Nothobranchius furzeri: one gene and its partners. The protein of the gene in region 1 purifies or fractionates together with the protein of each later gene. This does not show direct contact. Links are inferred from orthologs where the notes say so. Each region holds a gene or a part of one and is shown in the gene's direction. Other genes may lie near its edges. The genes, in order: prpf19, cwc15, ctnnbl1, sf3a1, snrpa, snrpd1 and plrg1.

What was found.
Region 2: the proteins of prpf19 (region 1) and cwc15 purify together in Homo sapiens (co-immunoprecipitation; 4 studies listed by BioGRID and IntAct, with this or other methods). This does not show direct contact. The link is inferred for Nothobranchius furzeri from reciprocal best matches to the Homo sapiens genes PRPF19 and CWC15.
Region 3: the proteins of prpf19 (region 1) and ctnnbl1 purify together in Homo sapiens (affinity purification with mass spectrometry; 4 studies listed by BioGRID and IntAct, counting the BioPlex papers as one, with this or other methods). This does not show direct contact. The link is inferred for Nothobranchius furzeri from reciprocal best matches to the Homo sapiens genes PRPF19 and CTNNBL1.
Region 4: the proteins of prpf19 (region 1) and sf3a1 fractionate together in Homo sapiens (co-fractionation; 3 studies listed by BioGRID and IntAct, with this or other methods). This does not show direct contact. The link is inferred for Nothobranchius furzeri from reciprocal best matches to the Homo sapiens genes PRPF19 and SF3A1.
Region 5: the proteins of prpf19 (region 1) and snrpa fractionate together in Homo sapiens (co-fractionation; 3 studies listed by BioGRID and IntAct, with this or other methods). This does not show direct contact. The link is inferred for Nothobranchius furzeri from reciprocal best matches to the Homo sapiens genes PRPF19 and SNRPA.
Region 6: the proteins of prpf19 (region 1) and snrpd1 fractionate together in Homo sapiens (co-fractionation; 3 studies listed by BioGRID). This does not show direct contact. The link is inferred for Nothobranchius furzeri from reciprocal best matches to the Homo sapiens genes PRPF19 and SNRPD1.
Region 7: the proteins of prpf19 (region 1) and plrg1 purify together in Homo sapiens (affinity purification with mass spectrometry; 8 studies listed by BioGRID and IntAct, counting the BioPlex papers as one, with this or other methods). This does not show direct contact. The link is inferred for Nothobranchius furzeri from reciprocal best matches to the Homo sapiens genes PRPF19 and PLRG1.

Annotation. Positions count from the first base shown.
Region 1 is NC_091741.1:94,861,653-94,865,742, reverse strand, and holds the start of prpf19 (pre-mRNA-processing factor 19), read left to right. Parts: upstream 1-1,290; 5' UTR 1,291-1,423; coding exon 1,424-1,442; intron 1,443-1,636; coding exon 1,637-1,786; intron 1,787-2,300; coding exon 2,301-2,377; intron 2,378-2,663; coding exon 2,664-2,805; intron 2,806-2,946; coding exon 2,947-3,020; intron 3,021-3,106; coding exon 3,107-3,172; intron 3,173-3,268; coding exon 3,269-3,310; intron 3,311-3,415; coding exon 3,416-3,490; intron 3,491-3,576; coding exon 3,577-3,652; intron 3,653-3,752; coding exon 3,753-3,862; intron 3,863-3,951; coding exon 3,952-4,090. UniProt on the Homo sapiens protein: Ubiquitin-protein ligase which is a core component of several complexes mainly involved pre-mRNA splicing and DNA repair. Required for pre-mRNA splicing as component of the spliceosome.
Region 2 is NC_091750.1:48,553,361-48,557,191, forward strand, and holds cwc15 (protein CWC15 homolog), read left to right. Parts: upstream 1-1,396; 5' UTR 1,397-1,547; intron 1,548-1,632; exon of another isoform or gene 1,633-1,775; intron 1,776-1,877; 5' UTR 1,878-1,893; coding exon 1,894-2,024; intron 2,025-2,107; coding exon 2,108-2,220; intron 2,221-2,324; coding exon 2,325-2,425; intron 2,426-2,496; coding exon 2,497-2,607; intron 2,608-2,704; coding exon 2,705-2,853; intron 2,854-2,964; coding exon 2,965-3,094; 3' UTR 3,095-3,331; downstream 3,332-3,831. UniProt on the Homo sapiens protein: Involved in pre-mRNA splicing as component of the spliceosome. Component of the PRP19-CDC5L complex that forms an integral part of the spliceosome and is required for activating pre-mRNA splicing.
Region 3 is NC_091755.1:51,817,520-51,821,741, reverse strand, and holds the start of ctnnbl1 (beta-catenin-like protein 1), read left to right. Parts: upstream 1-1,422; 5' UTR 1,423-1,570; coding exon 1,571-1,600; intron 1,601-2,648; coding exon 2,649-2,867; intron 2,868-4,222. UniProt on the Homo sapiens protein: Component of the PRP19-CDC5L complex that forms an integral part of the spliceosome and is required for activating pre-mRNA splicing.
Region 4 is NC_091757.1:36,509,583-36,513,563, forward strand, and holds the start of sf3a1 (splicing factor 3A subunit 1), read left to right. Parts: upstream 1-1,181; 5' UTR 1,182-1,396; intron 1,397-1,415; exon of another isoform or gene 1,416-1,506; coding exon of another isoform or gene 1,507-1,530; exon of another isoform or gene 1,531-1,584; coding exon of another isoform or gene 1,585-1,760; intron 1,761-1,850; coding exon of another isoform or gene 1,851-2,019; intron 2,020-2,107; coding exon of another isoform or gene 2,108-2,272; intron 2,273-2,348; coding exon of another isoform or gene 2,349-2,518; intron 2,519-2,593; coding exon of another isoform or gene 2,594-2,671; intron 2,672-2,754; coding exon of another isoform or gene 2,755-3,412; intron 3,413-3,500; coding exon of another isoform or gene 3,501-3,651; intron 3,652-3,731; coding exon of another isoform or gene 3,732-3,979; exon of another isoform or gene 3,980-3,981. Other genes in the region: ccdc157 (coiled-coil domain-containing protein 157), read right to left, coding at 1,585-1,760, 1,851-2,019, 2,108-2,272, 2,349-2,518, 2,594-2,671, 2,755-3,412, 3,501-3,651, 3,732-3,979. UniProt on the Homo sapiens protein: Component of the 17S U2 SnRNP complex of the spliceosome, a large ribonucleoprotein complex that removes introns from transcribed pre-mRNAs.
Region 5 is NC_091753.1:42,104,708-42,108,564, reverse strand, and holds snrpa (U1 small nuclear ribonucleoprotein A), read left to right. Parts: upstream 1-1,219; 5' UTR 1,220-1,346; intron 1,347-1,656; 5' UTR 1,657-1,664; coding exon 1,665-1,740; intron 1,741-1,851; coding exon 1,852-2,024; intron 2,025-2,112; coding exon 2,113-2,271; intron 2,272-2,410; coding exon 2,411-2,575; intron 2,576-2,651; coding exon 2,652-2,740; intron 2,741-2,896; coding exon 2,897-3,056; 3' UTR 3,057-3,357; downstream 3,358-3,857. UniProt on the Homo sapiens protein: Component of the spliceosomal U1 snRNP, which is essential for recognition of the pre-mRNA 5' splice-site and the subsequent assembly of the spliceosome. U1 snRNP is the first snRNP to interact with pre-mRNA.
Region 6 is NC_091759.1:18,894,640-18,898,479, reverse strand, and holds snrpd1 (small nuclear ribonucleoprotein Sm D1), read left to right. Parts: upstream 1-1,471; 5' UTR 1,472-1,595; coding exon 1,596-1,609; intron 1,610-2,154; coding exon 2,155-2,231; intron 2,232-2,564; coding exon 2,565-2,765; intron 2,766-3,038; coding exon 3,039-3,115; 3' UTR 3,116-3,340; downstream 3,341-3,840. Other genes in the region: gamma-glutamylcyclotransferase, read left to right, coding at 3,837-3,840. UniProt on the Homo sapiens protein: Plays a role in pre-mRNA splicing as a core component of the spliceosomal U1, U2, U4 and U5 small nuclear ribonucleoproteins (snRNPs), the building blocks of the spliceosome.
Region 7 is NC_091744.1:17,230,025-17,234,208, reverse strand, and holds the start of plrg1 (pleiotropic regulator 1), read left to right. Parts: upstream 1-1,384; 5' UTR 1,385-1,527; coding exon 1,528-1,536; intron 1,537-1,732; coding exon 1,733-1,839; intron 1,840-2,074; coding exon 2,075-2,211; intron 2,212-2,356; coding exon 2,357-2,410; intron 2,411-2,485; coding exon 2,486-2,579; intron 2,580-2,680; coding exon 2,681-2,771; intron 2,772-3,175; coding exon 3,176-3,274; intron 3,275-3,370; coding exon 3,371-3,463; intron 3,464-4,004; coding exon 4,005-4,154; intron 4,155-4,184. UniProt on the Homo sapiens protein: Involved in pre-mRNA splicing as component of the spliceosome. Component of the PRP19-CDC5L complex that forms an integral part of the spliceosome and is required for activating pre-mRNA splicing.

The DNA of each region.
Region 1 (4,090 bases):
ATGGAAATATTACAGTAGATGATTCTAAGCTGACATGAACAATCTCATGTGCACCAGTTTGCACACTTTTAATTCTTGGGTTTGTACTGAGTTTTGAACCACGGGTTGAGCGTTACCCTTCATGTCACACATTGCACTATGGTGCTCATGAAATCTCCTGCTGTTACCTACCTCCAGACCCTCAGGACCAACATGATCTGCACTGTCTTTGCCGGGTGTCTCAAGTGTTCATTGGCCTTCTATGATCCCTAGGTCTGCATAAACGTCAACATAGTTACTCTAAGGTTTGCAAGAGAAAATTATTAAAATGCCACATTATTATAGCATAAACTAAAGTGCATAATCATCCTGTTCATTCCTGACTGCTGCAAAAAATATTATAAATATCTGTCTTGCAGTTAAAGTTATTTTGCAGGTGTAGTGTTATTACCCTCTAGACAATTGTAGAAATGTAACCTATTATAGGGCAACAGCCTGTAAATCTGGGAACATATTATAGCATCACTAATGTAATTCATTATTGACTATCAGAAGGTTGTCTCTAAAACAATAAAATGTATATTTAACACAAACGCCTCATATTATCTATTCTTTGACTATAGAGAAATCTGCTTGAGCATGGGTCTGCATTCTTTACAATCCAAACGGCCGTTTTTCTCTCAGTCCATCCCAATAATTGTTCAGAGCCTCAACTGTTAGAGGACGTTCAGGAAAAACGCCATTTATGATAAAAATCTATGTTGGAGGTTTAACGTAGAGGAAAGTTATCTTCTTTTTTTTTTTTTTTTTTTTGCTCAGATGTCTTGACATTAATGGGAGAATTCTGAGATTAAAGCAAGAAATATTTGTGCCTTCTTCAATAAGGAACTATTAGATTTGCTGTCATTTAAAAATATCCAACATTTGTTTCCATTAGTCAATTTTAAAATGATAAAAAAAATACTTTGGCAAACGTAGAATGGAGATTTTTCTCTGGGATGTTGATATTTGTGGAAAATTATGTCAAATGGTAATTGTAGTTTCATTTTGATGTGGATATTCAATGTAGTTATTCCATAAAACCCGAAAAGCTGCTTTAACCAACAATTTTTAATATGTCTATGTTAAAAATGTGCTTTTTAAAATAATTTTTATCTAAAGAGCCACTTGCACTGCTGGTTGCAGACCCCTGTAAGATTTTCAAGAGTGCAGTGGTGTGTTTTAAGCGGTGGAGGGCAGTGCAGACTGAAATGAGTGCGGTTTGATTGTTGGCGGAAACCAGCGACGAAGAAAAAGGAAGCAGTTCCTTTATAGCGGCAATGAAAGGACAGCGTGCTATCTCCAGTTTGAACTAAATATAAGTGTTCACAAGCGGGGGGAAATTCAAGACGCCAAAAAACACAGTCTACGTTTAGGAGGGCACTGTTAGGACTGCGTTTGGAACATGTCTTTGGTTTGTGCAAGTAAGTGAAGATGAAAATTTGCAGGACGGCGCCTGTGAGTTAGCTCGGTATCATGCTAATGCTACAAGCTAATGAAGCTAACATTAGCGGCCACGCAAACCGTATTTAACTTCAGTTTCCCTCCATTCTCTTTTTTTTCTTTGTTTTTACTGAGTTGTGAGCGTTATGCGCCCTCTCCTTTTGTTTGTTTGTAGTTTGCAACGAGGTGCCGGAGCACCCGTGCATCTCCCCGGTGTCCAATCATGTGTTTGAGCGGAGGCTGATAGAGAAGTACATCGCCGAGAATGGGACGGACCCGATGAACGGACAGCCGCTGTCCGAGGAGCAGCTAGTGGACATCAAAGGTGAACTACACCCTCGATTTGACTTTATTTAAGTTTGATTAACTTGATATTTTTGGACACTACGAATGAATTAATGAGTAAACGACGAGTTTGAAATTCGCATTGTATTAAAGCCTGTTTAACATGATAAACATGAAATGCTGAGTTATTCACACTGAAGTGGTTGTTTGGGACAGATTATTTAACCTAAGGCTAACCGATTATTAATCCAGGCATCAAAAGGGATCAAAATTAAAAATACAGTTTATTATAATAAAGGTAAATAACTAAACTTTTTGTCTTGCGTCGTTTTTAACTGAAATGATCATGGCCATCTGATCTTTCATTTATTTTATTTTTAATTGAGTCGTAATTTTAAAATAATGGTTTTAATTTATTATTAGTAACACTCTGATAAGTCTGGGCCTTTCAATAAACTGTACCAGTTCAATCCAGTTGCACACTGAAATAACATATTTAACTTAAAAAGGTTTGACTGAATTTTTCCTGGTTTGGAAAATGTCTTCCCGCTTAGTGACCCACCCCATCAGACCAAAGGCGCCATCAGCAACAAGCATCCCAGCTATTCTCAAGTCTCTTCAAGATGAGTGGGTGAGTGATGGAAACGGTCAGGAGGACACTCGTCCACCTCACACCTGTGTGTTATTGTTGACTATTTAGAACAGGAATCACCCTTTTATTTTTCACACAACAGCTGCTATTTGAACAAAAATAAATCTGAAAACTCGTCAAACACATAGATCAACATATGACACTTTTACGTAACTTTTGAAGTAATTTTGGGGTTTGTAAGCTCAAGTATTAAAGACATTGCTGTCATTTCTAATAAATTAATTTCAAATCTCAGGAAGAGTTGTTTTTTTTATGCGTCCTACAGGATGCCGTCATGCTTCACAGCTTCACCTTGCGGCAGCAACTGCAGACTACTCGCCAGGAACTCTCTCACGCCCTTTATCAACACGACGCAGCCTGCAGAGTCATCGCTCGACTCAACAAGGAGGTCACGGCTGCAAGAGAAGGTCTGTATGTCCTAAGAAGACACATCTTGGTGTTTCTAAAATGTTAATAGCCACTTGGCGTGTTATTTCAAAGGTTTATTTGTTAAATGGGAACATAAGCACGTTTAAAATGTCCTAAATGTGTTTATTTTGTTTTTGCAGCTCTGGCCACACTTAAACCTCAAGCTGGACTGGTGACCCCTCAGGCCGCCCCCGCCTCTCAGCCTGCTGCAGCAGTGAGTGACCCATGCCTAACTGTTTTAACCCTCAGCTCTTGGTAGTTTTAGTCCTCTTGTATAAAATATTCACATTTGTATTGCAGGGTGCTGGTGGAGAGCCTATGGAGATCAGTGAACAGGTGGGAATGACTCCAGAGATCATCCAGAAGGTAAAACACTTTTTTTATGTCCACAGAATTTTATTATTTTATTATAAGCTCATATTTCATTTTATTTAAACAATTTAATCTGTTTGATCATTCCAGCTGCAAGACAAGGCTACTATTCTCACCACAGAGAGGAAAAAGGTTTGTAGCATTTTTTCCTTGTTATAGTTATAACTTCCAACGGAAGGTAAAGTTTTTATATCTTGTGATTGTGTGTGATTTAAAAAGTTCCTTGTGCTTCTGTAGAGGGGAAAAACTGTTCCAGAGGAGCTGGTTAGAGCCGAGGATCTCAGCAAGTACCGCCAAGTGGCCTCCCACGCTGTAAGTGCAGAACCAGGATGATGAAGATGGTCCTATAAACGACTGAATGTGCTTCATCTGGTGGACTTGTTTCCTGTTTGCTTCAGGGTCTTCACAGCGCCAGTGTGCCTGGTATTCTGTCCCTGGACGTGTGTCCCTCAGACACCAGCAAAGTGCTCACTGGTACTCTGAGCTTAACTCTGTCCTATTTGATTTGGCGTTGTGTCGAATCACCCGCTCGGGGCCGATTTAGTCCAACGCTGACTGTGTTGTCGTCCTCCAGGTGGAGCTGATAAGAGTGTGGTGGTGTTTGACAAGAACGAGGAGCAGATTGTGGCGACTCTTAAAGGCCACACCAAAAAGGTCACCTCTGTCATTTTCCATCCATCTCAGGTGAGTCTTTGTCCGTTGGGGGTCTTTTATTGATAACTGAAGGAACGTGCCAGGTGTGATCCTTCTCTCTGACGTGTTCTCCCCTCTAGTCTATGGTCTTCTCTGCCTCTCCTGATGCCACCATCCGTGTGTGGTCTGTTACCGGGGGCAACTGCATCCAGGTGGTGCGTGCCCACGAAGCCAGCGTCACCGGTCTGTCCCTTCATGCTACTGGAGACTACCTGCTCA
Region 2 (3,831 bases), on another chromosome or scaffold:
AATATTTACACTTTGGTCCGTGGGTTTTTCAAAGTCACCGTCTGAGCGTTCATTCTTATCACATGTTATGAGGTCAGATATGTAAAGGTAAGGGAAGTCAGCAATATTTTCACTTTATCTCTTCATCTTTGTATTTATCTGAATGAGGACAACTTTCAAACAAACTTTGTCAGTAGGTTAGGGTTCAAAATAGGGATGCACAATATATTGGCATTAATATCGGTATTGGTCCGATACATTAAACTGGGCCAATATTAACTGATAATTTTTCCATCTTGTTTTCATTTGTTTATCTGTTTCAGAGGGTGAGGGAGGTGATGTGTAATTGTTTAGTCATGTGACAGTGATTGCAATCATCTAACAGTGTAAACATGTGTGGTGTGTGTACATAACGTCAATTCAGCTTTAATCTTTACAAATCTGTTGATCTTAGAAGCATTAATGTCAGTATATCGGTATTGGCAAACATCGGTTATCGGCCATAACAGCGATATATCAGATATTGGTATCAGCCCCAAAGTTTCATATCGGTGCATTGCACTGAAGATTTCTGTTTATTCAACTTTTCAGGAATATTTATGAGCTTCAGGTAAAAAAAATGTCATAGCAGGAGGTCAGAAAATAATGAAATGCAAACCTGAACCATGATCGCATACAAGACTAAACTGTGACCTTCTTTCATCGAAGGATTGCGTAATTATACCAGTCACTATGGTGTCATGTTGTGAGGTAAGTGTCTAACCCACGACTTACAGAATCAGTTCACAGACTACGGTCGGTTTTAAACAATAAATTAATGGAGAAAACAAGGGAGCAGCATAAATGTAGCTGAGATCTTCAACAGGAGTCGGGTGCAGGAATCTGCAGACAGATGGAGGTTAGATCCAGCTTGAAAAGGGCAACAGGGACTTTAGAAAACTGGGGAAGCACTAAGATTGGTCTGTAATTATCATACTGTAGTAAACAAGATTTGTGGTTTTCTTAATTTGAACACTACATTTTATTGACCTTGTAAACATCCATCCATCCATCCATTGTCTGAACCCGCTTTGTCCACGTAGGGTTGCGGTGGGCTGGTGCCTATCTCCAGCGGTCAATGGGCAATCAGGCGGGATATACCCTGGACAGAAAGCCAGTCCATCGCAGGGCAACACAGAGACACACAGGACAAACAATCATGCACGCACACACACACACACACACACACACACACGCACACACACACACACACACACACACACACACACACACACCTAAGGACTGTGGGAGGAAGCCGGAGTACCCGGAGAGAACCCACGCATGCACAGGGAGAACATGCAAACTCCATGCAGAAAGATCTCAGGCTGGGAAGTGAACCCAAGGCAACAGCTCTAACCACTGCGCAGCCGACCTCGTAAACAATACAAGTAAAATAGGTTCTTGGAGTCCTGTCATGCCGGTCAAAATATGCACGATTTTTCTCCGATTGTTCCTGAACGCGTCTAGTTCCGGAAGTGACGCACCGTTGTGTACAGGAACGTTTCCTTTTCACTTTTGGAAGCAGCTTCGTAAGTGTTGTTGCTTTAAAAACGTATTTAAATTGTGTTGTTTATTTTAAGCTTTGTGTTTCAAACATGTTTACTCTCGTAATTATCTTGCATTGGGTTTTAAAAATAGGAAATGTTCCTTAAATTGCATTGTCACCCACGTTAGCCTGTTAGCAACTGATTAGCGGTGGAAGCTATCAAGCTAACTTGTGTTTTAAACAACATTTAGGAGGAAACTGATCGTTAAAGGTTTTAACTCATATTAACATTAGACTTATTATGATGTATATCTAAAATTACTTATTGTAATTTATGAATTGGTCAGTTATTTTCTGCTTTACGTTTTGCCAGAGCACGGCCATCAAAGATGACTACAGCTGCAAGACCAACATTTGAGCCGGCGAGAGGGGGTAGAGGAAAAGGAGAAGGGGATTTGAGTGCTCTTTCTAAGCAGTATTCCAGTCGGGATCTTCCAGGTCACACCAAGATCAAATACAGGTCAGAACAGTGGGTTCCAGTTTCTCAACCTTAAATATTTATTCGAACTACTTAAACTGTGTTTCTTTCATCTCAATTAAAAGGCAGCCTACCCAGGATGCCCCTGAGGAAGTGCGTGCCCGTGATTTTCGCCGAGAGCTGGAGGAGAGGGAGCGTGTAGCTGCTCGTGAGAAGACCAGAGAGAGGGGACCAAGAGGTGGATTTTTCTACTCATAATAAAGATTAGATCCAAAAAGGATGTATGCAACGGTTTCTGGCATAGTTCCTTTAATCTGTATTGTGTTGATTTTATTTCTTCAGAGCACACCACATCATCTTCTTCATCATCATCATCTTCAAAAAGGCCCAGACTGGATCAGATCCCAGCAGCCAACCTTGATGCCGATGACCCTCTCACTGATGTAAGGATTTACATTGCAATACATCCCAGACTTACACTGGATAAAGTTATTAATCCATTTTTACATTACAGGATGACGAAGACGAGAACTCAGATGAAGAAAGTGATGATGACGACACTGCAGCCCTGCTGGCTGAACTTGAAAAAATTAAGAAAGAGCGAGCTGAAGAGCAAGAACGCAAAGTAAAGAGTTTTAAGTTTGTGTTTGCTTTGGCTATAAATGAAAAGTGATGTTATAGAGGATGGCTTAACCTCCGTGTGCTTTTCTTTTGTTATTTAGGAAAGAGAGCAGAAGGCAGAGGAAGAGAGGATTCGAATGGAAAATATTTTGAGTGGAAATCCATTGATAAATTTAGCAGGACAGCAACAGCAGCAGCAGCAACAACAGCAACAGAGCCAAACTCAGAACACATTCAGAGTCAAGAGAAGGTATTTCTTATGTTCACTTGTTACAGCAAGAATGTTGGTTTTTTGTTTGTTTGCATTTGGAAAAACAAATATATTCCTTCACCACCACTAATAATTCTGATGTACTTCTAGGTGGGATGATGACGTAGTGTTCAAAAACTGCGCCAAAGGAGTGGATGAGGCGCGGAAAGAGAAACGTTTTGTCAACGACACGCTGCGCTCTGAGTTCCACAAGAAATTTATGGAGAAATATGTAAAGTAGAGGACTTTGTGTGTGTGTTTCATTTGATCTTTTTTAATTGAAAATGTTTTAGTTTCAAGCATTTTAATTGCAGCTGGCATTTATTTACAGTCTAACTAATTGGAAACCGTACTGTCTGCAGGTCAGTTGCTGTTTGCGTAAATCATGAAAGTTTGAAGCACATTTCAGAATGTGATTTCAGTATTTCTGTCATGCATTTTTCATTATTTGAATAAACATTGACTTTTTTCCCTTGAATTACTTTGCATAATTTCACAGAAATAACAGATTGTGCATTTTTTAATTTTAAAGGGTAAATTAACTTAAAAAGTTAAGTTTTATAAAAAATGCTAGGGGTGGGGTGCCTAAAATCAGCACAGAAATGGGTATGAAGAGTGTTGCTTTTCATTTAACCCTCCACTCCCTAGTGCTTTTTTTGTGCAAAAGGTAATGGGTTTTGCAAAAGTTCAAGGATGTGGCGAGGGTTAAAAGATACTTTGTAACTTGTTCATATTTTTAGATAATTTTCTTGAGCCAGTATGTGCTAAAATAACCCTTCACAGTGTTAATGAAATGCCACCCAGCCCCTATCGCCCCCTGTGGCCAAAATATCCCACTTGCAGCTTCACAGTTGCTGGTCTGATCTGTTGAACTTAGAAGAACTTGAGCTGACATACCTGGCGCTGCAGTCTAGTTCCAGCAAGTTTCCTGCATGGTTTAGATCATGAACACAGCTGATTTGTTTCATTTAGTGATGA
Region 3 (4,222 bases), on another chromosome or scaffold:
CATGAAAGTTTCTATCCAATATTTCACAGTTTTACACTTTCAATTCAATTCAATTCAATTTTATTTACAAAGCGCCAAATCACGACAAGAGTCGTCTCAGGGTATTTCACATAATAAACATTCCAATTCTGGTCAGTTCATTAAGTCAATCAGAACAAAGTTTCCTATACAAGAAACCGAGCAAATTGCACGCATTTGCACTTAACTTGCTATCTTGAGACACCATCTTCATTATGTGATCGGTGTCATCTTTGAAAAAAAAAAAGTAAAACAATAGTTGAGTAACAACTTATTGCATTGTTCATAAACTGAGCTATTAAGCATTTAGATTACTCGTGTTTGCTTTGATTTCCTTTCCCTCTCTCCCCTTGCCCCTCGTGCGGTTGGACGTCAAGCTTCAGTGCTTGGCAGTGGCCTTCCTTTTGAATGTTGTCTCTATTGCTCTACTGTCACAGATCACTGGCCAGAGACTGGAGAGGCAACAGAGGCGTCGACACTGCTCTCCACTCAGACATTTCACAATGTTTCTCACTGAAGGGGTGATTTTCTGCTTGTCTGGAACAGTAAGAGATCCGGGCATATAAATGTCTGCGGTTATGAATGCAGCAAAATTGAGCCCATTGGACCAGAACTTCATACATGTGGCTTTGAGGAGGATTGGTAAGGAGCTCATATTGTTATTAAGTCAGCACAAAGGTAGCATAGTTATGATGCACAGACATTGATTTCTGAGCTTATTAGTTCATGCACATGTAAAGATATTAAAATAATAAGCAGGCTGGTGTCAATTTCTGATACTTCATTGTATTGTATTTTTAGTGTGCAATAAAATAAGCAAAAAGCAGATGTGCTGATTTTAGAGTCAGACAATTACCAAATTGATCCTAAGCGATAACCATTTGGCTGGCATAACAACCATATGTTTGAATTAACATTACATCTTTCATAATTATTATCTAGATAATAATCTTATTTTTAGATTGTTTGGTACAATCTTACATTGATTTACTTTGTAATATAACCCTTTTAGATACAGAGGAATAAAAAAAGCTAATTATTATTACAGTTCCATATTAATTGCTTGGTTTATGTTTACGTATTTGGCAGACGCTTTTGTCCAAAGCGACTTGCGGGTGACAATCAAGCCAGCAGGTTGCCCTGGAGGCCTTGGAAAAACATTTCTGACACACGAATTTATTGTTTTACTTTTACAAAAAAACAAGAGCTAGTTTTATACCAAAGGTTCATTCACTCATTCTCTCATTCTCTCTCTCTCTCTCTCTCTCTCACACACACACACACACACACACACACACACACACACACACACACACACACACACACACACACACACACACACACACACACACACACACACACACGCCCCGCAGGAAGAAACTGTGGAGGCTTCTGCTTTACGACAGTGTTTCTTTTCATACGGCAGGCCAGCATTTTACGGCACAGCGCCGGCATGTTCAGATTTTGTTGTTAGCTAAAAGCCAATCGTGCAGGGTTCTTTTCTTAATTCCAAGTGCATTTATCTTACGGTGAAGTGATCTAATCTGAACAAATGGACGTCGGGGAGCTTCTGAACTATCAGGTATGTATTTTTTTCAAGCAGTCAACGCAGGGAACGCTCTTTCTGTAATCTCTTAACTGTTGGCATGCATGTAGCAACACAGCCTTGCTAAAAGTTACCAATAAAATCCAGAAAGCTGATTAGTTTCTTATTTATTTATGTGTGGAGATCTACGAGTCTGTAAATTACCCATTCCTTGCGCTTCCATGGTAATGGAGCAGTTTAGCTTTTCTCATCGAAGAAAAACGTGACAGTTAGCTTGTTAGCTAATGAAGGCTAAGGATCGTCAGTTTATGTTTGCGTGGTTATTTTTGCCTCCCCTGGCTTTCCTAATGGATGCCTTTGTCTAGAGTAGTGTTTACGTCTATGTTTTTTTGTTTTTGTCCACAAAGAACAATAAAATAATCACTTATGACACTTTGTACTAACATGCAATCCTCTGCATCAGCTCTCTGTTTTTATTAACAGTTTTATTGTTATATTTGTGTCTTATTGTAAAATAGTTTGTGATTTTTATCCCTAAAATATTCCTGAAAACGCTTGTTTATTTTTAGAGACAGCAAAACGACCTGATACAAAGGAGTTTCATATAATAGTGTCAAGCATCACCCGAGAGAAGGAGCGGAGCTAGCTTTCTTTTAAATTTATTTCACATTAATTGAAAATAAGAAGTATTTTAATGGCTTTCTTCGTTTTTTGCAGAGAAATATATTTTAAGGAAAGTAGCTATTCCAAAATAAGATGGTTAAATGTATGGGTCACATATTTATTGTAACTAAATGGTGAATTACAGTTTGGCAATGTAACCATTAACCTGATTAAATTGATTGTTTACATTTGTTTATTATATAATTTTACATATTATGTTGTCATTTAGTATGGTATAAGTTTTCTGATAAGTAAAAACCAATTAGACAAAAGAAAATACATTTTCAGAAATCCTGTTCAGCCCAGATACATTTTCTTTGTTTTATTTTTTGACCAAAGTTTGTAGTTTTGTTTTAATTTAAACAATGTGAGACTCACTCCACTCACTTTCACCTTATATCCATTTATTTTCATCTTTTAGCCTGATAGAGGAGCCAAGCGCCTGAGGAACGGTGATGGAGGCGCAGGAGAAGACGACAACTCCAGAGGAGGGAAGCAGCTGAAAGGTCTGGGAGCGAGGGAGCTAGCTAGATACAGGGAGGCTGAAGGAGGAGCGGAGATGAGAGAAACTGAAGAAATAACTGAAGACCGAAAGATGATCTTGGAAAAACTGATGGATCAGGATGGGGAAGAACCTGAGGTGGGTAAAGGTCCTTTTCGTTAAGGGTGTGTACTTAAGTGAAGCGAAGCATGATTTATTACATTGTTTGTGTTAATCTGCCTAAACTGAACGCTTCATCCGTTTTCTTGCAGCAAATTTAGAATTATTAAGATAATAGCAAATTAGTAATCTAACCATTATATTGTTAGGGTTAATGCACCAGAATTAGACAGAGCAGAAATAATCGTTCTATCCATAGTTTATTGAACGTCTTAGATATTTTTGTAGTTTAATAATTAATATTAAGTAAATTCACTTTAAATTAATAATCCTTGTTGATAAAAACTAACCAGAGGATACTAAATTCCTGCTAGTGCAGTTATTATGTATCCTTAAATATAATTTCTACTTGTTTATATCTTTCTTTTACAATTTCACCAGTAAGAATATTATTTGGACATGGATAAATTATATTGCTGTATTATGTAGAACTGGACTTACAAAGAGGGGTTGTTGATTAAATGTTAAAATGGCCTGCCATACTGGCTTATTGTAGACAGGGAATTGTACAAAATTACTAAATGAACTGTCGTTCACTGTATTGTTCACTGTTCTAATATTACTGTTAAATCCCTTCAGTCACTAACATATTCTAATTATTTGTCTGCCTGATGATCTCAGACATGACAACATGTAGGAGATGTTGCAGCTTTTTTTTCTTGCCAGCTCTTCAGGTGGACGAGCCGTCGTGCTAAATTTCTCCTTTAGCAGCTTTGAGAATTTAAACTATTTCCTCACAGGAGACTTCAAGTGTTTCTCATGTGGAAAGGAAGCAGTCCCGGTGGTTCCTGAAGCTGGTTCTGCTGCGTGCGTCAGTTCAGTTTCACTTTTGTTTTGGTCCGTTAATGTCTTATTTATTTTTGGTGTTGGAGACGTCTTTATGGTGGGTTAACTGCAGCATTTCACGGCTAATCACTGCAACCCTGCAGGTCAAAGCCACGCCCTATCGTAGCCTCAGTACATCTATCATTGCCCTGAACAGTTTTGTGTCGAGCCAATCACAGAGCTCTACGTTTGTTAGGTGGGCTTAGAGCTGGAGCTGCGATGGAGAAAAACAACAAAGATGGCGCTGGCCGCTGGCTAGGGAACAGTGCTCGTTTGAAACAGCCTTGGCATCAACTTTGGACAATTTAGACTTGAGCCTTTCTTTGAGACTCGACAAGATGGATGTACTTAAAGAGACAATGTGTAGTTTTTACCATTCATTTCTGGAAGTATCCATCAAAATGTTGTTAAAGATAAATATAATGATGCCCAGTTGTTGACAAATATTGGCAGCTTTGTAACAACTTCCTGATGTAAGAGGCGAGTCTCCTCTTTGTTTTGTTAGTTTT
Region 4 (3,981 bases), on another chromosome or scaffold:
ATCGAGCTCAGTCCGGCTCGGCCGTGAACGAGCCGAGGCGACATCCTGCTCTGCTTAAGAAGAGGTGTTATTTTCCGCTTCAGAAGAAGCGTCCGTGTTTTACGCTTTCTCAGAGACATGTCACGTTGCTAAGTTGTTAGCGCCGCGCGCTAACACGTCAATAGTGCAGCATAGCCTGCTGGAGGGTTCAGATGAAAACACCCTACCACTCAGGCTGCTTACACATCGATATTAAGTTGTCGCTGTTGCGCTCACGCCGTAATACAGTATTAGATGCGGTTAAAGTCAGACATGAAAAACTCCACGAGCGGTCAGACCGCGCAGCAGCTAGGCGCAGCAAATAGGCGCCGGATCGTCCAGGCTGCCCGGCCTGACCGCTGGGGATTACCGGATGGAAGAATGGACACAGAAGTCTCCCTCTTAGCGCTCCGTCATATTTCAACCCATTTTTATCTTAAATGCACTGGGTTTTACCCTATTACCCATCTAAATATGCCCTATTAATTATTTTACCGTATTTTACATTTAAATTTCATGGTTAAACAGTACATGCTACATGTTAAACTGATAGTTAGCTAGCTACTTCGGTAAACTCAGCTAGTTTAAAGGTAGCAGTGACATAAAATACGAATATAGATTTTAACTTACCGAAAAAAATGAAGTGGAGACTCCTTGGACGCTCTATTAGTGCAATTAATACCACTGCAAGTCATTTTGTCCAACAATTGCACCAATAATATCCAAAGAAGAATACACAAACACAGAGACTCAAAATGCCGGAGCAGTTTCCAAGCCAGACCGAGGCTGTACTGAGGCCTTTCCACGGAGCTAGCTCTGTGGTCACGTGGGTCTGAGGCGGCGGTCACGTGTGTTGGATGCTCATTAATTATACAGAATTTTAGGCTTTCAATACACTTAAACAGAAGAGTGAGAAAAAAATTCACCCCCCTCAGAGTTGTCATGAGTATAAACTAGATAATTTAGACAAAAAACATGTTTTGGCACCAGGCTGTAAACATGTTTATTTCTGCTGTGAAATCGGCATTTTTAACATGGGAGTCAATGAGGATTTGCTCGCTTCTGGCACCAGCCCCCAGCGGATGAGGGTGGAACTGCAATTTTTCTTACTTCCGGGATGGGACCATTTTCTGAGCGGCATTGTGGGGGCTTGGTTGCCACCCATGGCCTTTTGTTGGAATTATTTCGTTTTGGGTGGTAAAAGGCCGCAACAGAATCATTTGCATATCTTCACTGACCCCCGCATTTCCTGCACATCACAAGATGAAGTTTGGGAACAGAGAGAACAAGCTCAGAGACCTTTATGCTGACGTGTTCTAAACAGGAAATGCAGCACTGACGAGGATTAATAAAGCAACCAACGCTGTTTCTAATAAAGGCAAGTAAAACATGTCAGCTCAGTTTTTTCAACAATAAGGTTTTTATTTAGTCAGTTGCATCCACGTTGATCTGGTTTTTTACATGAAACTCCAAGGAATAAAACTGGCTTCATGTCTGCAGAGGTGCAGGTTCCTATTCAGACACATACATTACAAATGAGTTATAATAATCCCAACGGTGCATGATCTACTTCACATGAAACTCCTTTGTGTACATCCATACCCTGCAGGCATTTTGCTGAGCTCTTGTTTTCAATTTCTCAAGACTTTTGTGCAGAGTAGCATTTTCCTGTTCCATCACTTTTATACGAATTCTGTTTGCTTGAAGCTGTTGCTCCATATCCAAAATCAAGTTTCCTGTACCTAGAATGTAAATAAAGTCATGTGCTATTATTATACTGGAAATAAATCTAATCAAATATAATCAGATAATGTTATTCAGTAGCAACCTACTCTGAGGTTGGGCCTGGGACCAGTTGTTGAGCTCTGGGAAAGCCACCAGCAGTCTCTCCCTCTCCTTTAAAGAGTCCACACGCCTTGTCAGGTCAGCCACTTGCTTTTTCAACTCATCCGCATTTACTTCTAATGTCTGCTTCTCCTTCTGGAGCTCCTCACACAAATTCTGATGGAAGAACAAGAACAAAACAGACTTTATTATAACTAAGGCCATTTACAGTACAATTGTATTGCATTTTAGGCCACATATATACCTGCTGCTGCATGAGCTGAGCCTGCTGTTCCTCCACCTTTGACATCTGATTGTGTAAGGTGATCCGTTCCTCCTCTTTCTCTCCTAGCTCCCTCTGCAGCTCTTCGCACTCTTCATCGAGAGCATCAACTCTTTCCAGCAACGACTTTTGCTTTGCCAGCATTGACTGGATACACAATTATATTGAAAACAGTGTGAAGGATCCCCTTTATAGCTATGCTGGCCTTTACAGTGACACTGACCTCCTGCTGACGACAGGCGCTCCTGTACTTGGCCTTCTCCTTGTCAAGAAGAAATGTAGCATCAGAAACTTGAGTTTCTAGCTGTTGGATCTGTTCCTGCAGTCTGCAGCAGGCCTCTTTCTCTGTTTGCAGGTTCTTCACTTTCTCATGGAGTGCTTTCTTTTCAGTTTCTACCAGCAAATGAATCGTCATTATGCAGCATCATACTGTAGATGTGTTGAATGACAGAATCTGCATCTCATTACCAAGCACTTGTAAGCTGTCATGTTGCAGTGCTATTTTCTCCTTTAGTCTGTTATTAGTCTCCTCCAGGGACATATTTTCTGTCACAAAAATGTGAAAAATATTTATAGTAAAAACTATGATGTCAATACATTCTTGTTATAAAACCGATTGTGTTAACTACCTCTCTTCAGCTGTTGTTGCTCCTTTTGTAGCCTTTGCTCTGTTTCTTTTGAGGATCTCTGTGCTTTCCGTAGAGAAAACTCCAGCTGGACAGAGTTTATTTGGTGTTTTTCCAGCTCTTGCTTGAATTGTTTCTGTGCACTTTCCAGCTCAGATTTGAAACTGTCACGTTCCATTTCAGCTACGGCAATTCTTTCTTCAAGAGGCTGCACAGTACCCTGGACATCCTTAAGATGTTTGGTCAGCCGGCTCGTGTCCCGGAGCTGCTCTTCGGCCCACTGGGCTACATCGCCTGATGTCATGTCACCCACAATGTCCTCCATAGCTGCTGCGAGAGGCTGCAGAGATGAGGGCAAACCCTCACTCTGTAACAGATCTATCAATGCATCTCCCGTGTTTCTCAAAAGGGACTGCACCTGATGGCAAGCGCTGCAGGGAATAAGGGACGAACTTGTTGTCTGGCAGCTCACATGATGCTGCTCAGCTTTAGGATAGCATGGAGTGTTGTTAGTTTGTGGGACAAAATCAAATGAGCTTGCTGAAGACAAGGCAGATGCACAAAAGCTACTAAGTTCAGTCTTCGAGCTAGTTATAGCAGGGTTGGACAGCACCATATTTGTGTTGTTGGAGTCAAATGGCTTTGTATCTTTAAAGGGCTCCTGTGAAAAAGAAAGCATAAAAGTATCCAGATCTTTCATTTAAAATGCAATTTTTAGAGTATTTTGTATTTTCTAACATTAATACTACCTTTTTGTTGGCTGATAGGAGTAAATTCCCACAGTAGTTCTTGACCACGAGTCCAACTGACAAGTATGTTGTCTGCTGGGTTTGCTCTCCTCTCTGTCTGCCTCTCGGCACCTCATTGTAAACACTAACACTTTGTAGAAGTAGCAATAATCTTTTTAGAAAAGGAGAAAGGCAAATGTTAATAGAATTACTTTGGTAACAATGCATAACATATAAAACACATTTTATTACCTGTCAATCACTAATTCCAGTAAAACAATGTGGGAGTGCTGATTGAAGGCATCCTCTCCGTCTACATAGTCGTACTCCTCCAGCAGAGCCAACATGTCCACATTACAGGAGAGTTTGTCAGGGAACTTCCAAGAGGTAAAGCTGACCGGTCCTGTTCTGGAAAAGACGTCCACGATGGCTGCTTGGATGTCCGCCAGATCTTTTTGGAGGCTTTTGATGCAGTCTTGACTACCTAACAGCTCACTCATGA
Region 5 (3,857 bases), on another chromosome or scaffold:
ATCTTGCGATGGACGGATGCCGACAATGGACAAAAAAGTGACAGACGTGTGAAGTCAAGATGAAACAGTGATGTTAAATCACTGTGATGTTGCAAATTATCTGCATTGTTCATGAAGTTTACAAAAAAAAAAAGTCCACAGGCACTACATTCATTTGGGATTTGTTCCTTAATGCGTTCAAAGATTAGTCCCTGAATAAAACTGTTGGGTTTTCACCAGTATGTATTGGTTAACTACCTATTCTTCCCTGCTTCATTACTCATTACTCCCTAAGTCGTTCCCTAGTTACGAAGCATAATTTTACGTACCTTATTGTAAAGTTACTGTTATTCTTCTTAGGTTGTCTACTCTGCCTTTTTTTGACGTCATGTTTTTCCAGTATTTCTGATTTACTGTTCAATTCAATTCAAAAATACTTTATTAATCCCAGGGGGAAACTGATTGCTGTAGTATCTCAGAATAATAATAATAATCAAGTCATCAAAGAGTTATTGTATATTACAATGGCTGTTGGCAGGAAGGATCTCCAGTAGTGTTGCAGCGAAACTGAAGAAGCCTCTGACTGAAGACACTCTTCCGTTGTCGGACAGTCTTGTGAAGAGAATGCTCACGGTTGTCCATAATTTTCTTGATTCTCTGGAGAATCCTTCTTTGCATTATCTCCTCCAGTGGTTCAGAAAGTGCCGAAACTCTGACTGAGTCCTTGAAAGGGCTTGGAGTTCCTCCATCTTGTTGGCCAGTGATCTCACATTGCCCATTATGATCGATGGGAGAGATGGTTTGAATTTCCTCTTTCTCTGTCTCCGTTTTGCTCCCGCTCTGCACCCACGCTTCTTGCGTTTTAGTTAATTTGGGATTTGTCGCGTCAGTTGAGGTATTATTTCAGCCTTTTCAATGTTAAACAGCTGCTCCCGATTGTAAACCAGCTTGTTGCCATGGTTACGCATCATAACAAATGCTCAAAAAGTGAAAAAACCTAAACAATAGCAGCAAAAGTCCTCCAAGCTTCACAGCACCAGAAACAGAAAAGTAAAGTGTCCAAAAAAATACCGTTTTTCTTGAGAAACTAGAAGAAAAAATGTCCAAGAAAAGGCTAAACTTACATATAGTTAACAGAGCTACTCCAACATGCAGCCACCCAGAGCAGCGTAAATAAGAAGAAAAACCATTTTAGTTTTAGCCATTGTAAGTTAAATGGTGTTTTGAGTTTCGCTATTTTGATTTACACCGTGTGGTGGCGGTAATTCACCAGAACGGTTTGGTAACCAACAAATAAGACAAAGAAGAAGAATTTCTTCCTCTTGTTTTCTGGGGAAAAAAGTCTCGGAGCTTTCATTCAATTTCAGGTTGGTACTACGTCAACATCTAACGCGTTTTACATGGTTAAGTGCATTTTAACTGTTGATTTAAAATATTTTTGACAAGCTTAAACGATTTGAGGTAACGTTGGAACTAGTAGAAGTATTTAGGCAGATTAATGACGCTAAATGCTGTTAGTTAGCTTTTAGCTAACACGCTGTTGTTGCCTTCCGCCATGTTTGTTACCATTGCGTTTAGATGCTGGATTTTTGAATGAAATTGGACTTGAAACTGCGTGAAAATAAGCACATGTTTGAGTCTTTATTTTATTTTTAGCTATTTTATTTATTCTCCTAGCCTTAAACATGACCACTCCAGCAGAGGTGCGCCCCAATCACACGATCTACATCAACAACCTAAACGAGAAGATAAAGAAAGATGGTGAGTTTCGCATCATTTTCTTTCCTTTTCTTTGTTTATTTCACGCACAATTAATGCAAAGTCTCCTTTATTATTGTTATTGATTATTTGTTGTTTGTGTGTCTCCCTCAGAGCTGAAGAAGTCCCTTTATGCCATCTTCTCTCAGTTTGGGCAAATTTTGGACATTTTGGTCGCACGAAACCTGAAGATGAAGGGTCAGGCGTTCGTTATCTTTAAAGAGATTAACAGCGCTTCTAATGCATTAAGGTCCATGCAGGGTTTTCCTTTCTATGATAAACCTATGGTACGTCTATTAAACATGTTTAATAATGCACAATTTAGACATTTCTGATGGAAGTACACGTGTGACTCAAATATATACTTTCTTGCAGCGAATCCAGTACTCTAAAATGGATTCGGATATTATAGCTAAGATGAAGGGGACTTTTGTGGAGCGTGACCGTAAAAAAGAAAAGAAGAAGCCCAAACCTGAATCTACAGGAAGTAAAAAAAATGCTGCAGCGATTGCTGGGGTACCTTCTGCAATCCCAGTGAGTGCACTAGGTGTTTTTTACAATCATGGTTAAACAATCTAGATATTTGTTAGTGAAGTAACGGCAGGTTTTAGATGCATTAAGAGTTAAAAGCTCAATTAACATGAATAGAAACTAAACGTTTGTCATTCTTTAGGGAATGCCACCAATGAACCAGGCTCCTCGCATGATGCACATTCCAGGCCAGCCACCTTACATGCCCCCTCCTGGAATGATGCCTCCTCCTGGGATGGCTCCAGGCCAGATTCCTCCTGGTGGGATTGCTCCTGGTCAGATGATGCCAGGACAGATGCCTCAGCAGGTAGCTTGTGTTCTTTTTCCTCACAGAACGTTTTGTTTCCTGTCCTGGTAGTTTAATCCTTACTCTCTTCCCACAGGTTTCAGAAAATCCACCCAACCACATTCTCTTTCTCACCAACCTGCCAGAGGAGACGAACGAACTCATGCTGTCCATGCTCTTCAACCAGTCAGTACTCATTTTCTAGTCATACATTTAAACAGATGCGTAAAAATGGATCAACTTTGACTGTTTTGTGATGCTAACATTGCAAATAATCTGAGAATTTAATTCTCTCAAACTGTTTTTTCTGTAATTGTAACTGAGCTGCTCTGTGCGTTAAAGGTTTCCCGGCTTCAAAGAGGTGCGTCTTGTTCCTGGTCGTCACGACATCGCCTTTGTGGAGTTTGAAAACGAGGTGCAGGCTGGCGCGGCACGAGATGCTCTGCAGGGCTTTAAGATCACTCAGACGAACGCCATGAAGATTTCTTTTGCCAAGAAATAACGCATCTTCCACCAGGTCCTGATTTAATTTGCATACATGTCCGTACATGTAAGTATCTGAGTCAAGTTGCTGTTAAGAAAGTTGGAGTGAAAAACTGGGAGCTCTAACTTTGTGCAATGGTTTGGCTTTAATCTGTAATGCTTGCGCAACTTGGTGTCCACTTCTCTGTTTTTCTGTTTCATAGTTTAAATTTTTTATTATAAACTGTTAAAGCATTGCACCCAGTGTCTGGTCCACCAGACATTGTACCTGGAGCTATTCTTTTTTTTTTATCTTGATTAAAATTTGAATTGGTAAAACACTAGACTGTTCTTTCTTTCGCTGTGTGTGTGTGTGTGTGTGTGTGTGTGTGTGTGTGTGTGTGTGTGTGTGTGTGTGTGTGTGTGTGTGTGTGTGTGTGTGTGTGTGTGTGTGTGTGTGTGTGTGTGTGTGTGTGTGTGTGTGTGTGTGTGTGTGTGTGTGTGTGTGTGTGTGTGTGTGAACAGGTTTGAGCATAAAGGATAACTCAACATTTCCTGTCTGAAATGTCAAAGAAAGGAATTGAGTTTAGAGTTGCATTTGCTTAATCAAGCCAAGCCAACTTTGTTTATAAAGCACTTTAAAAACAGCCCTCGCTGACCAAAGTGCTGAACATAAAAACATAAAAGCATAAAATAGAATACAGTGTAAGGTTAAAAGCACACTAAAATAAAACACAAATCAAATAGAAATCCAAAACGTGTTGAAAGCCAAGCTAAAAAGGTGGGTCTTTAAAGATGATTTAAAAGTTTCCAGTGAGGAGGCCTTTCTAAGATGTGCCGG
Region 6 (3,840 bases), on another chromosome or scaffold:
ACACGCAACTCCACGCAGAAAGGCCGCAGCCGAGTTTCGAACCTGCAACCTTCTTGCTGCGAGGCAACAGTGCTAACAGCTGCGCCACCGTGCAGCCCACAAGTCGACGAAATTCATTTTATCATCTCTGAGCTGTTTACCTTCATTTTCAGTCACTTTAGGTTTATACGCTTTTAGCATATCGGCGTTCACACTACAGCATCGTTTGACTCGTATTTATTAGCTGCTTTAGAAATAAATCATTTATCATCACTTCCTTATTATAGTGAGGATCTTCTTTTGGTGTGTGTGCCTTCTTTAGTTTCTATTTGTTAACATTGTTTTTTAAACACGCTAAATCAAAGTTTAAAAGCCTAAAACATTTCATGGCGCAGCGGCCCGACGTTTAACCCCTTTATCTGAATGTTCACGTCCAGCTGACCTTTGATTTTATTTTGTTGGACGTGTGACTTCCTGTTTGAGCCCCGCTGTAACGTTTACAGGAGAATAAAACACGACTGCTGATCTGAAGATCGATTACTCAGTTGCTATGGTTAAGGTGGAGAGAAACCCCAAAAGGACATTATCTGTTTCCACATGAAAGATTTCCAGGAACACGTGCTCACCTGCTGTAATATTTCATGACTTCTGTTTTAAACCACTGCATAATTAGATTTTCTTTTCTAGAGTTCAACAGCAGATGCACTGAGTCGAGACTTTTTCTGCTCCAGAATATTAATAACGTGTTGCGTCAATCATGTGCAGGCAACACACAGAGAGGATGACGGTTTTATTTATTTTTATTATTATTAGAAGTGGAATAATGCTGAGTTTAATGGCCTTGTGCCGTTTTTCTTTTTGTGCTTCACACTTTATGATTTATTGGTCTCAGCCTACATCTTTGGAATAAAAAAAAGCACTCTCATTGATTATACTTGATACATTCCCAGCAGGTCTCAAGAAGACAGATTTGATGTGTGGCCAAATCTCTTAAGTATCGGTGCAGAGTTTACTCTTAATAAAATGAGCTGAAAGTGCTGCTTTGTGGTTTTATTCAACTGCGACAAGTTCTCTGAAGTTGTCTCCTGATCTGTTGAATGAATTAGGTCTTGATCAGTTAGGGTTAATTGTTGTGGATATTTTACCTTTTTTCATCTTCCAGATTTTGATAAATCAGTAAAAATGTAAATTTTACTACGACTTTAACACATGTTGCACATAAACACCGTTTTGACCTTTTGGTTGCAAATTCTGCAGATCACGAATCCAGCAGTAGGTAACGGTAGTGATCTTCCTAAATATTGATCATTTAGGGATCTTTGTTTTGGATATTTGACCTTTTAACTGCCAGATTCCAATAAATTAGTAGTAAAATAAAGATTGTGGATTTTAACACTACTGTAAAACATGTTGCACAGAAAAATAAAACAAAAGTGTTAGAACGGATCACAATTCCACCAGTAGATGGCGGTAATTACACCCCCTCGTCTTTGTTGTCGCCTTTTAGTGACGTCACATCCCTGAACGTTTCGAATACAACAGCGGCCTGTGTTTTCACTCGATCGCTGTAATTTTTGTCTTCGGTGGAGGATTTTTCTCTACTGTTTTCCATCATCATGAAACTAGTCAGGTAGGCGGCAGCGGGAGGTCCCGGATTAACCGGAGAATTAACGTAAACTGATCAAATGAAAGTGATGTGGCCGGATGGATTGGGATTTGATTAAACGGTGATGAGGCGGGAAGTGGAAAAATGTAATGGATCCTGAGCGACGTTACGGCGACCGCTGAGGGTTTAAAACACGTTCCTACGCACAGTTTTAATTATCAACATAGATGAACGTCTACTTTAAGTACATTTCTATTTCAATAAGTAAAAATATTAGGCTAGACGTTAACTCATTCAACCGTTGTAGCATTAGCTTGTCAATCAACTAAAGCGGCTCAAAATGGGGTTTTAACATAATTTGTTAGAGTTCATTTTGTAAATATTTAGTTTAGCTGTTAAACTGGTGGATAATCAGTGTTTTTATTGTTTCAAACGCTTTAAAAGTCACCTAATAGCCATCGGTGGCTAACTAGATAGCTAAAGCTAAGCTACTATCTAGCCTCTGCGAGAAATGTCCCAATTACGTTGTGATGTTTTCACTCAGTCATCGTGTGCAATGATGCCCACAGGTTTTTGATGAAGCTCAGCCATGAAACCGTAACCATTGAGCTGAAAAATGGCACCCAGGTTCACGGCACCATCACAGGTGAGCTCATAAAGGTGGTCAGATAAGCCAGGAGTCAGCTGAAGCTCTTTAATTTCAATACTAATGACATATATTTGTATGCATTAAGTAGATTAATACCCACAGCTGTGCTTTCATCCTCATAGTCAGACTTTAGTACAGATAAATCTGCACAATGTATGTTTTTGTATTATTTAATCCTATTTGATGGGATTTTTTTATGTTTAACAAACCCTAGACAAGCACACACACAACCTGCAAATTAAAATATTTTCTAATCTGTAAAATTAATCCTAAACTCAAGTGCCAGATGTACTTATGGCTGGTGTTTCATCCCTCCTCTCTGTTTTTCAGGTGTTGATGTGAGCATGAACACTCACCTGAAGGCGGTAAAAATGACCCTAAAAAACAGGGAGCCCACTCAGCTGGAGTCGCTGAGTATCCGCGGCAACAATATTCGCTACTTCATCCTCCCAGACAGCCTCCCTCTGGACACCTTGCTGGTTGACATCGAGCCAAAGATCAAGTCCAAGAAGAGAGAAGCAGGTGAGAAAGGTGAAAATGCATAAGATATGTTGAGTTGAATTTTATCTTAAGGTGTTTTTTTTAGAAAGTGAATCTGAATTCTCCTTTGCGTGAACAAAAAGGTTTTCACAGTGATGTAACTGGTGTGTTTGCACAGGTTTCTGCATGGGTTTATATTAAAAGAACTAAATTGTAACATTAACTGTACGACATAATTTAAGGAGTGGTTTAAAGGACCAGATGCTAAATGAGCAATATGGTGTTTGTGACACTTGTGCTGATGCTGCTCATCTGTCTCCTCAGTGGCTGGACGGGGACGAGGCAGGGGACGGGGACGTGGGAGAGGAAGGGGACGGGGACGAGGTGGACCAAGGAGATGATCGCAAGGCTGTTCTGTTGATTCCTAACACTTCACTGTTTGTACAGGATTTTTTTTTTCCTTTGCTTCATTAAAGCAGAAACGTTTTGTGAATTTCTGTGTGCTTTTTAGTTGGACTTTTTTTTTTGTACATTAAACTTCTGGTTAAGAGGACAAATTACTCTGACTTCTTTGTGTTGGTTTTTAATACTGAATAAAGTGTCAGCACATAAACTAGCATCATTAACTACTGTGTTGTCCCAATCAGATCCCAATGCTACTGGTGTACTAGCCAGCCCCACGCTTCCTTGTGTATAAAGTTACACAGATGAGTCTGGCAGGCCAGGCTCTAAAATAAAAATGTATTTTATGAAATTATTATTTAGTCATCAGACCTTTATCCCACTACAGTTGACAAAATAAAGCAAAACTGTTTATTTAGTCAACTTTTAGGTGCAGTTTCTCACATCAGTTGTGATAATTGGTAAAACTGCACATGTAGGTGGGGGAACGTTGTTTTACATTACACCGGGGACCAAAGTCACCGCTAGATGGCGGTGTAGGAAAAGTGACCTGGTAGATGGTAGCCTATAGGATGGCTTGCCGGGCTAACGTAGAGGTTCGTGGAATGACGTAAATCATTGCCCAAAGCTAGTTATTTTATATTAAACGATCATCTTTTAACATATTCGTCACATGTCGAAGGCACCAGGTTCTTTTCGAGCAGGAGTATTTTTATCACAATGT
Region 7 (4,184 bases), on another chromosome or scaffold:
TTTACATGGAATCAATTTCTTTTAATAACTTGGCTGTTTAATTTGTTTGTCCCACTTCTAAACCTTTCTCATTATCTAATTTATTTGGTGTAATCTTACAAATGCAAACCTCCACTTTCCCTCACAGTTAGCCATTTTTCAGAAGGAACAGAGATTATATTCTCAAATGTTCCAGCTCTGAATAAGAACTTACACTTAGGAGTTAATAAGAAGTCAGGCTGGTTGTTTATTTTGTGCTCACAATTGAACAAATGATCTACTCTGAGTTTTGTTCTGGTAGTATTTGTACTGATGCATCATTACATTCACCTCAGAAAGCTATGGTTGAGTTCAAACTTCATCTGACTCGCAGTAAATTCCAGTGCCATGTAAAAAATAAAATGTGGGGTTTTTAGCTCAGAAAATTGAGCTGTATGACTCTGCAAATAAACACTTGAGTGTATTGGTATGAAACGTGATTTTCAGGACTGCTCCTACCAAATTCAATTTACTTTATCTGTTTCTCTACGGACTATTTTCAAATGCATTAGAACGTTAATTATTATTTAAATCTTTTAACATCAGTTGACATAAATTTTAATTGGTTGTATTTCTGTGTTACTGTGCATCATGAATTAATTTAATCTGTCAACCTTGTCAATCCAAATTATGTTATTATTGTTTTTATTTTTGATAATAATAATAATAATAACAATTTTATATTGCACCTCTCAATTAAAAAATCACGAGGTGGTTCATATAAAAATAAAAATGACAAAAAACATTTTTTCTATTATTTAAAAAGATCGAAGCTTATCGTTGGATCCTGAAAAAGATAGAATTAACAGAAACACCAGCTTGAAAAGAAGCTATTGAGGAAGAATAGGGTGATCATGAGGTCACGCAAAGCCAGACAAGTGAAAAGCATGTTGCAGGACAAGCATGAGGAGACGAAGGTGTGGATGAAATCTGAAGTTCAGAGCATGACAGAACTGACATGAGAATCCAGGGTGAGAGCTGGGTCAAAGGTCACGCCAAGATTCCTGACAGAAGGTTTGGTGTGAGAAGCAAGCTGACCAAGAGAGTCTTTGACTTTGGGAACCAGCTTGTCTGGGGCACAGATGAGGATCTCAGTCTTATCTTCATTCAGCTGAAGAAAGCTCCCACCATCCAGGTTTTGATAGAGTCTAAAGCAGGTGTGTAACAGCTGCAGTTTAGATATCTCATAACTAGCATGGTGGGTCATTTGATAGAAAATATCCTTAATAACAATTAAACATTTAAATAATAATTTTATGCTTTATTCATACGTTGAACTGTCACATTTTAGCCCTTGATGATGAACAGGAAAAGTGGTTGAATCATCCAAACCGGTAGGTGGCGCTGATATAACTTTAACAACTCTTGGTCGTGTTTACTTCCGGGTTATCTCAAACGTTCGGTTTGTCGTGGTGGTCAGGAGGATTTATTTTACTACCAAGTTGTACTTACCGAGGCAGACCTTTATTTCCTCCTCAGTTTTGTTCTATCGGTATATTCCTCTATAAAATGACGGAGGTATGGATTTATACATTCATGTATGTCTTTTGTGTCCGCTAGGATGTTAGGAAACGTCCAACACACTCCCGGGCCTGTCTATTTACTGGAATTGATAGCCTTTTTCTGCCCGTTTCACTGTTTATTGAGTGAGAAATAACTTTTTATTAGGTTGTTATATGCGATGTTTTTTAAATAAAATTCTCGCTTTTTACAGGATGTCCAGAAGCACTCTGTCCACACATTGGTCTTCAGATCGCTGAAAAGGACGCATGACATGTTCGTAGCCGACCATGCTAAAGCTATCGCTCTGGATGACGAAAGGTAACCCAGGCTGCTTCCAAAGTGTGTTTGTAAATATTTACAGATCAAACCTCACTAATGTTTTCTAATGCGCCGGGATACGTTTTTTGCTTAACGTTCAGTGAAGAAACATGGATGTTTGCTCAGCTTATATTTTCTGAGGAAACTATTTTTTACGGTGTTTAGAGTTGTTGCTCAATTAGATAACATTTACATTTTGGCGGTATAACATGTATATGAATGACTGTGTTTGCAGTCACAAACAGAAGATGGGTGTGAAACTAAAGACAGAGTATGGACCAGTTTTACACATGCCCATCCTAAAGGAGGGCAGAGAAAGAGTCTCACATCATCCTGACGGCATGCTCAGCCATCAGAGCTACCCACAGCTAGGTAAGGGAGCAACACACTGTGACTGTTTCTTAGTTAACCGTCAAAATAAATATTGCATAGTTTTATGGATCACATAGATTGTTTAACTTCTTTTGAGCGATTAAGCCAAAGTTAATAATGTTTTCACTCTGTTAAAACTATTTAGGCGATGATCCAGAATACCTGATTACCGGGACCAATGCTTATCCATCTGGACCAGGTAGATTTGTTTTCTGCTACTTTAGGAATCCGCACTACTTTTAATTTTGTGCTAACAGTAGCTTGTGCTCCACAGGTGTGGCACTCACCGCCGACACTAAAATCCACAGGAATCCCAGTGAAGGAGCGGTGCACTCCTTGACACTGGCTTTACCACCCTCACTAGCAAGGTAGGCTATTATTTATTTTTAATCCATGCTGGTAACAATTTGGCATACAGATCTATGGTTAAAATAAATATTCTGACATACTCTATGTCATGTACTTTCAGGCAGGACGCCAGTCGCACTGCAGCCAGCGTTGCAGAGATCCATAGACATGCAGGAGTAGCAGAGAGAATTCACCCTCCGTCCACTGCAGTGGTAAACCACAGTGAATTTACTTTTCCAGAATGCTTGTTAGTGCTTATAGAGTCTTAAAAAGACGTGTAAAGCTAATAATCCAGTAGAGATTGGGTTTCTTTTCTGCAGTAGAAAATCACTAATTTGAAAATAAATTAAAAAACAAATAGCGAGCTCAGCTAACTTTAACACCATGGAACTTTTATGTTGCTTATTCATTCTGGTAGTGTCGCATCAAATTCTGTAAGCAGAACAGTGTTGCAAGACAGAATGCTTCACAAACATACAAAACTAATTTTACAATATAAAAATTACATTATAATGCTAATGAATGTGTCGTTCAGTTGGCCAGTTTATTTCTACTCATAAGTCTTTCATGCTACTTAAAAAAAATCCTTAATGACCTTTTGAAGTATATCTTTTAGTCTCTCTTAGATGGAGGTGGCACCAGAAACTCAGCGCTCATAAGGAGAGCTCCAACAATGCCCAAACCTCAGTGGCATCCACCGTGGAAACTGTTTCGGGTTCGTAACAACTGTTTCACAAGTTGTCTTGCATTTGTTTACAACATTAATAATTAGAAGCTGCCTTGTTTAACTGTGGTGACCGTTATCTGTCAGGTTATCAGCGGACACCTCGGCTGGGTGAGATCCATCGCCGTGGAACCGGGAAATCAGTGGTTCGTCACGGGGTCAGCAGACAGAACTATAAAGGTCGGGCGGGCTGAGTAAAACACCAGCTTTTATGTGTTTGTTATTACATTCATTCATTCATTCTCCATAAATACATATAAGCAGTAAAGCTCTGTTGATAGAGGGATCAGTAATGGTCTAGGGTTTTAAACTGCTTTTTATATTCTTTATTAACAGGTTTAAGCTACTTTTTGTCTCTAATGGTAACAAGTCTCAGAGGACTGAACCTGTCTAGATTTGTTATTAGACTTCATCTTCTCCACCAAATAGTTTTTCCTATTCTGTAAAGAGCTGTTATTGATCTAGAGCTGGTAAAACATTCAGGTTGTTGTATTTTGTGTAGGTGCAGACATTGCAATACAGTTTTTTAAAAAGAAATCCTTTCAGTATTTAACCCTTACCCAACGTTTACATTTTCTAACGTTAATGTCATTTGAGCACAAAAAAATGCTTTAATGTTAGGTAAGGGTTAAAACGTTTGGGAGTGATACCAAGGTGGCTCTGTTGCTGTTAAAGCTTCTGTGATGATCCAGAGATAACTGGAAGGTGGTTGTCTCTACAGATCTGGGACCTGGCCAGTGGGAAGCTGAAGTTGTCTCTGACTGGACACATCAGTACCGTTCGTGGTGTAGCAGTGAGCAGCCGCAGTCCGTACCTCTTCTCCTGTGGAGAAGATAAACAGGTCAAGTGTTGGGATCTGGAGTACAACAAGGTACGTTGTTTGGATTAGCTCAGGGTCATC